Sus scrofa: one gene and its partner. The protein of the gene in region 1 purifies or fractionates together with the protein of each later gene. This does not show direct contact. Links are inferred from orthologs where the notes say so. Each region holds a gene or a part of one and is shown on either strand. Other genes may lie near its edges.

Evidence for each region.
Region 2: the proteins of UBQLN4 (region 1) and GJA1 purify together in Homo sapiens (affinity purification with western blotting; 3 studies listed by BioGRID). This does not show direct contact. The link is inferred for Sus scrofa from reciprocal best matches to the Homo sapiens genes UBQLN4 and GJA1.

Annotation. Positions count from the first base shown.
Region 1 is NC_010446.5:93,986,343-93,990,152, forward strand, and holds part of UBQLN4 (ubiquilin-4), read left to right. Parts: intron 1-2,096; coding exon 2,097-2,322; intron 2,323-3,424; coding exon 3,425-3,564; intron 3,565-3,810. UniProt on the Homo sapiens protein: Regulator of protein degradation that mediates the proteasomal targeting of misfolded, mislocalized or accumulated proteins.
Region 2 is NC_010443.5:40,999,231-41,003,722, forward strand, and holds the start of GJA1 (gap junction alpha-1 protein), read right to left. Parts: upstream 2,900-4,492; 5' UTR 2,735-2,899; intron 1-2,734. UniProt on the Homo sapiens protein: Gap junction protein that acts as a regulator of bladder capacity. A gap junction consists of a cluster of closely packed pairs of transmembrane channels, the connexons, through which materials of low MW diffuse from one cell to a neighboring cell.

The DNA of each region.
Region 1 (3,810 bases):
TACAAAAAAAAAAAAAAAAAAAAAAAAAAAAAAAAAAAAAAAAGACTGCTGGATGCTCAGATCTGCTTCTTCATTCGTTGTGTTGCAATGTCACCTATTATGTAGGCTTTGGAAAACTCCACTCCAGAGAATGAGAGTGAAAAAGGCAAATCACATTTTAGGATTATAAAAAATGGCTTTTAAACCTTGCAGGGGTCCTAGGGCCACACTTTGAGACTATTTGTGTCCTAGGATCACACTTTGAGGATGTTGTAGGGCGTTTACGTTGTGGCTCAGTGGTAACAAACCCAACCAGTAACCTTGAGGATGTGGGTTCAATCCCTGGCCTTGCTCAGTGGGTTAAGGATCCAGCATTGGTGTGAGCTGTGATGCAGGTTGCAGACGTGGCTCAGCTCCTTCGTCATTGTGGCTGTTGTAGGCCTGCAACTATAGCTCCGATTTGACCCCTAGCCTAGGAACTTCCATATGCCACACATTTGGCCCTAAAAAAACAAACAAAAAAAGGGATATTGATTCAGGCACATAGTAGGTGCTCAATAAATGGCAGCCGTTATCACTTTAGGGAATTCAGGGAAAGAGGTTCAATCCTTAGGGTGAACCAAGAAGAGCAAAGCAGGACCCAGAACTAGGTAGGGTTGGGTGCTAGGCAAGTTACCAGAACAGGAAATCTGAAATGTTGACAAAGACCGAAACTGGTGCATAAACCCTAGCCTGCAAGCCCTGTTATCTGAACAAGCATCTGCTAAGGCGAAGGAACTGCAGCTCAGAGCAGGAGAGTCCTTCATCAGCCCTGGTCCCTATGACCCACTTCGGATAAACAGGAAACGTGCCTGGGGAGTTCCCATCGTGGTGCAGTGGAAATGAATCTGACTAGGAACCATGAGGTTGTGGGTTCAATCCCTGGTCTTGCTCAGTGGGTTAAGGATCGGGTGTTTCCCTGAGCTGTGGTGTAGGTCGCAGGCTCAGCTTGGATCTGGCATTGCTGTGGCTGTGGCGTAGGCTGGCAGCAACAGCTCTGATTCGACCCCTAGCCTGGGAACCTCCATGTGCCACAGGTGAGGCCCTAAAAAGCAAAGCAAAAAAAAAAAAAAGAAAGAAAAGACTGGATGTGAAACTCCATGGCAGGGAGGGGCCGAGGCTGCTCAGGCACCCCCTGCTTGGGTCAGGACCACCCAGGAACTCAGGAGAGGGAAGCTGAGCAAGGGAATGCGGTCTGGGACTCCCTCAGCCAGCACCCACCTTGGACTGAGCTGTTTCCTGGGTGCTGGTAGGCCCAGAGGAGGGAGGTTCAGGTGCTGCTTGGGCAGCCCACCATACAGCGGGTACAGACCCTGAGATGATCCTGGGTACCACGGTGCAGGGCCTGGTGCTGAGGGGACTGTTTCACTGAAGCAGACAGGCTGAGGAGATAGGCAGGGAGGGTTGGGGAAAGAGGAGATTACATGGAGGAAGCAACAGAAGGAGGAGAAGACCTACGGAGGTGGGTTCAGCCAGATATGTGTCACATTAAGGGGCTCCATTGTGTGTCTGGATGGACAGAATGCTGCATGGAGGACCTGGGGGTGAGGGAGAGGGTTCTGCAGTTAGTCTTGGACCAAGGTGGCTGGAAAAGGGAGAGCTGGAGACAAATCAGGGTTGGAGTAGAGAGCCAGGTCCCATCAAGCCAGTCATTACTTATTGAGCACCTACTAGTGTCAGGGGCCAGGGGTCCAAAGGTGAGTCTGGCGTTGTCTCTGCCTCTTAAGAACCAAGGAAAACAAATATCTCATGACACAACAGGAAGGGTATGTGTAAAGCACTGGAGAGCATAGAGGAGGTTAGAAACCAAATATTCAGAGCCAGCAGGAGAGATGGGCCCTTTCCAGGTATCTGAGGGGTTCAGTTATCCAGTCATTAGCATCAGCCAGCTCCCACTCTGCAGGACAAGGGTGAAGCTGCCTATCGTGGGGTCAGAAATTGACCTGAGGACTACAAGGTCTTAGATCTCTCTCCCTTTCCTGGGGTAGGGGAGGCTATTAGGTGAGAGGAAAGAAAGGGCCTAGCCCTTATCCCTGATTTGTTTCAGTCCTTAACCCAAAACCTTTCCCTCCTCCCAGTTTGGCAACAATCCCTTCTCTTCCCTGGCCGGGAACTCCGACAGCTCATCCTCCCAGCCTCTGCGGACTGAGAATCGAGAGCCCCTCCCTAACCCCTGGAGCCCCTCGCCCCCCACCTCCCAGGCCCCCGGGTCCGGTGGGGAGGGCACCGGAGGATCGGGGACCAGCCAGGTGCACCCGACAGTCTCGAACCCCTTTGGGATCAATGCGGCTAGCCTGGGGTCAGGTATGTCCTAGGTTGGAAGGAGCTTAGTGGGGTCACCAGGGCAGTCCCTCTGTCCCAGGACTGAATGGGGTTCATACTGCTCCAGAATATCGAAGACAGAGGTGAGACTGTATTGAAGCCACAGGGTGGGGTGGGGGGTGGTCTGCAGCCTGGAGTGGTGGCTCCACCCCTCAGAGGGTGAGGGTTGGTTCTGACCCCGTCCTTCTGTCCCTAGAAGTAACCTCAGTAATGGCTCATGAATAAAGTAGGCCCCACCTCATAAGCTGTTTCAACACCACTGGTACTCTCCATTGTAAGTGGGTCAGATTGGGAAGGGGGTGTGTGGGAGAGGAATCGGGACAGGTAGATGTGAGGCTGGGGGAGAGGGACATGCAGAGCTGCCTCGTACCGAAGTGCAGGTTGTGCACTGCTCAACCCTGGGAGATGCCCTGTTTAATCTGGACTATGACTATACATACCTATGGCCCTAAGGATGTGTGGTAGATGCCTTGATTTCTCTGTACCATGAGAGACGTCTTGATTGGGAAAGTTTCTTCCTCTCTGTGTGCTTATTTTCTAAATAAGGGATTTGAACCTAATGCATGGTTTTAAAATTGTACTTCTGAGTCCTGAGGGGCCTGAACTATCTCCAGGATGAGAGAAGACCAAATGGGAAAGGCTCCAGGCCTCTTGCCCCAGCTCCAACCAGACCACTGACATACTTGGTTTCCAAGAGAGACTTGGTTTGAGGACAGGGTCTCTGCTGCTAAGACAAATTTGAAAATCATCGGTCTAGGTGATCTTTCGTCAGATCCTTTCAATTCTGACATCATCTGAACCTGTGGCAGGAACAGTCCAGAGGGGCATGAATCAGACCCAGTTTGCAACTGGCCTGTCCTTAGGAAAGTAGGTGTGGAAGGAGCCAGGCCAAAGCAGGGTGAGGTGACATTGGAGTCAAGAGAGACTTGGACCCCTGCCCCTCTACTTGGGTGCCCGTTTCACCATTGCCTTTCTGTGTTTTGTAACCACTCAGTGTCTGAAGTGAGGTAGATGAAGTGAGGCATCTGGTTTCCACCTGGACCCCTTTTCTCTTGTTTTATTGGTTTCCTCCTTCTTGTCCTAGGGATGTTCAACAGCCCAGAAATGCAGGCCCTCCTCCAGCAGATCTCTGAGAACCCCCAGCTGATGCAGAACGTGATATCGGCCCCCTACATGCGCAGCATGATGCAGACACTTGCCCAGAACCCTGACTTTGCTGCTCAGGTATGGACCTGGCATGAGGGGAGCGTGTTGGGGCCGTTACTTGTCATGATCAAAACCCTCCAGAGCCAGATTGCCTGGGTTTGTATGTTGAGCTCTGCCAACTTCCTAGCTGTGTGAGCCAAGCAAGTCATATAACCTCCCAGCTTCTTCGTCCGTAAAATGGTAATAACAATAGCTCCTGCCTCGGAGAGTTGTGAGGCTTAAATGAGTTAATGACATAAAGCGCTGACTTCCCTGGTGGTCTAG
Region 2 (4,492 bases), on another chromosome or scaffold:
CAAGCTACACCTCTGGATATCATCAGAGAAATGAAGGAATGCACCATATCATGAGTTTTCCATCCTTCTCTACTCAGGAATTGAAAACATCTCAGTAACAAAACAACTCTCAGTATCTGAAAACACACCCTTTCGGATGCTTGCTTGGAACTTTGTTTCCTGGGAAGGGCCAGCAATGTAGGAATTGTACTGTAAAGGGTGAGGAATTGAGTGTTTGGGGCAGCTGTGGTGATCAACTATAAAAGGTAGTAGAAAAATGGGAACATGTTTAAACAGTGAAGAGAGTAGAATTAAAGCATTATCAAAGCATTTTCCAAGCAAAGGACGGGTGACAACCACACCCTGACTTGGAGAACTACTAAGCACAACACAAACATCTTGCCACGACAAAATGTTTTTCTACCATTGCCATCGTTCTGGCAACTCGGCCTACCTAGAAGAATTACTCTTTCCCTGAAGTATTTTCTACCTAAGTGGCTTATTTCTATTTTAGGGACAGGGCTAATTTAATTAAATCTCTATTACTACAGGATTTTATTTTCAAGAATCCTTGTTCAAAAGTTAGGCTTTAGGAAAAATTTTCATAATCTACTCTTCAAATTGCCTCTTCATTTTAGACTAAATTCAAATGTGCCTAATTTTCAGAGGGTGAGATTAAGCATCTTCTTATTACTAACTTGGTTTGGAAGGCAGAAGAAATTAAACCCACCTCCAAATGCAACAATGTCTATTTTTCCAAGTTTATAGTGCTCCTCTTTGTACTCTGGGAGTACAGGCAACCTTAGGATAAGGATGAGGTTGCTCAAGGAGGGCTTTTGATAAACTTTATGGGAGATGCTCTGTAAACATCTGGAGGGCTAATCAGTAGGATACTGTGGTCGATCCGCTGCTAGGAACTCAAAAGTTGAATTTCCAAATTCTGTACTGATTTACTCCTGGACATGTCATTAGGTCTTTACTCATTTCATTACGTGGCTTCCTCTGCGCTCCCCTACCCGCTCCCCACCCCCGGATTCTTAGGAAATTTCGAGAACTTACTGAAGAGTTACAAGTGTCATTTAGACACATTAATTTCCAAGGTACTCAGGTTTCCTCGTCATGGCTTACACACTAGGATTCAACAGGTTTGGAAAAAAAGAAAAAGAAAAAAAGGGCACTGCGGATGGCGGTGAGAGAAAAGGGAAATTAGATTGACACATTTAATTCAATTAATCATTTGCTATTCTTTTACCATTCGGCATGATGTCCATCTCCTTCAAACCCACCTCCACCGCTCCCACCCCTTCCCTTCCAGTGGCGGAACTCAGACCTGCACTGGGTTTAACTTTTAAGCATTTGAGGGAAATATCCGCAAACCTTTCCAAAACCTGGAGGCCGGGGCAGCCCAGGAGCCGGGGCGAGCCAGGCGGATGCTAAAATGGCAGGAGGCACCCCGCGCCCGCCCGGCCCCAGGCCCCCGTCCTCCTTCCCCAAAGCTTTCATTTTTATGTGCTTTTGAGCACTCTCTGGTGCAAATACTTCAAACTGTAGGGTCACAGCAAGAATTTAAACTAATTACTTCAGTCCCTGGAATTAGAACAGACAAAATCCTTACCGGGCACGAAAATGCATGGCTGCATTTCAGGCTAAAAGAATGTGGGTTACTCACAAGAGCATGTAAGAAATTGAACCTTTAAAAATGACAAATCGTCTTTATCTTTGCCTCCTGGCAGCACCCTGGCGGCTCAAACTCAAAAAAGTTGCCCCAGAGCTCTTTAGTGTGTGGCAGGTTCGGACAAGCAGAAGGTGGTGGCAGTGTGTTTGTGTGTGTGTGTGTGTGCGCGCTCGCGCGCGTGTGTGTGTGTCGGGGTTGGGGGGGGGGCGGTAGCTCCCTCTAAGGCGCTGTCTTAAGAAATTTCGTTTCATATTCTCTCTAGGAGCCCCTGTCTTAGGAGACCGTTTTGAAAATGCACCCTGACATGCACTCTTTTCTAAACTTCTGTTCTCGCCCTAACTTAACGCTTTGTAAGTAACGAGCAGGCAGGCATTCAAGAGATTTCACCTCCTGAATTGCCAACGTGGTCGAGTCAAAGGTGGCTTCCCTGAGGGTCTCAAGATTTTTCCCTAGTGGCGGCTAACACAAAGTTAACTCTTTACTGTTGCTTTAAGAACCTCAGCATTACAACCCGTATTTTTACACCTTTTTGTTTACCGGGGGAAATTCTACGAAGAGACCACGTGGAAGTCAAGTAACCGCAAGGTCTTAACAAAGCACTTTGTTAAGAAGTCTGCTTTTCAAGGCTAGAGAACATCAATCAAGATTTCCATATGAAAAAGCACAAAGCGTAGAATTCTATAGCAAGCACTCTAGGCATCTTTGCACTTTGATTTTTTTCGTTGTAGCCAGTCAAACCCCCAACCTAGGCCCCCCAAACCACACCCCACCCCAAAAGTTACAAAGCGTCTAGACTATTACTAATTACCAAAAAAAGTGAAATTCTACTCTAAAATGAGGAACCAACCAAATATCCAGAAAGGTATGAATCTTATCTACCTGTTGCATTATTAAAAGATAACTTTTTAACAGTCAAAAAATAAATACCGTAAGTTCCATTTTAACTTTAAAACTAGACATTTCAAGTTCATCATTCCCTTTATATCATATCAAAGCTACATTTAACACTTTAAAAAACTTTAGCAAAGTTTTAATTGTAGAAAAAGAAAGAAATAGGTAAAGTCCTTTTTGAAAACTTACTCTTTCCCTTAAAAGAAGTGAAGTAGGCACGCCTCAGAGGATGAAGTAAAATGAAAAAGCAAGTTCAGGCACTCAGACCTGTCTATTTAAAGTTTAAAAGTCTGCTGCTGTTTGGTACTTTCCTCACTCCTTCCCCCTAATGAAAGAAAAGTGCTGATACCTCGTAAAAGCTTTTTTCTTACTTGGAGCACTGAGCTTTTAAAAGTTTCAAGCCACTGACTCAACAAGGAGGAGGGGCTAGGAGAAAGGGGTGGGGAAGAGGAAAGGCGGGCGGGAGAGTGGCGAGGAGGCCGGCAGCCGAGAGGGGTGGGGCGGGCGAAGAGGCAGAGGAGTAGCTAGGTCCAGATGAAGTCCAACTTTAAAACTGCTGACGAGAGACATGAAATGGCATTAGAGACCTGAATGCCATTACTTGTAGTTACTTCTTACAGTAACAATTACGGGTTTTAGTTAGTGCTTTTTTCACCCAAAGTCCAGGGATAATAAAAAGTAATGTATTTTATATTATTACTACCTTTTCTAAGATTTTATTTCCTGTAATATATGTATATATTACACTAAATTAAAGTGGTGGAAAAGTGTACAGCCAGGGCAAACTTCCTATTGGCCAAGGTGTGTGTAAAGGTGGGTGTGAGTGAGTTATTTGATGAGCTAATTCCTCCCCTCTTAGTTTAAAGGGACAATTAACAAAGGAAATGGAGATGGGATTGAGAAATTTGAAAAACGAACATTTTAGGATGGTATGCCCATCCCAAATCCACCTCTCAACTCCTTGACTGCTTTAAATTTCATTCTTTCCCACAGTTTTGCAAAAAATATATATATTTATATTCATAACTGTATTATAATACTTTTTGACTGTTAAATCTTCCTATCTGACCTCTACCAAATCTCTGGGGAACTGAAAATTTATAATATCCTAGCCCCATTCATGCCAAAAATGAACTCTCTTTTGTAGTGAAATGTCAGGATATTTTTTATGGAAAATTCAAATGTTAAGGCCCGAAACTCTCAGCTTTCCTTGAGACCATCTCTCTCCTTAAAACCCACTGGAGAGTTTTCTGCTGCTGACCACAGAGATCTGGGTATAGTTTTTATGTGCTTTTCCACCACTTCCAGGGCCCTCCCTCTTCAACAGTCTGCACTAGGGTTTATAACAGCCTGAGTCATGTGTCCTCAGTCTCAGAGTGGCCGGGTCCTTTGAGGTCTGTTCAGAGGCTACACTAGAGGGCTGTGGTAGGAGAGTTCCTCATAAACTGGCTTCAGTGATGCTCCTGGGGTTGGGCAGGGAACTCTCTTGGGCATTATTCTCTGGAAATAAAGCAAACTCATCCAGCGGGGATACTCCTTACTAATACAAATACTAGGAGGAAAAAAAAAAAACAAGTAGGATAGGAAGTATTTTCTGATAGATACCTTTGCCTAAATTTCATTTCATTGAAATGACTAATAAGGCACTTTTTGAAAGGTTGTAGTTTTAATACACAATTTTGCTCTTTCATTTGCTGGCTATTCTGTTTCTAAGGGTACATTTTTCTTTATGTTAAGGAAGAGGAAAAAAGAAATAGAAGTTGTACTCTAACTTTCAAGTCTTCAAGCTTAGCAATCCATAAATACTCTTTTGCTCTTGTATTTATAGTGTCTTTTCCTTCAAATGAGTCTATGGTTTTGTCCTAAGTAAAAATTACTTCCTTTGATTCAGAACACATTCATGAAAATATGATTTATTCTTTTTAAGAACACCTGTTTTCCTTTTCT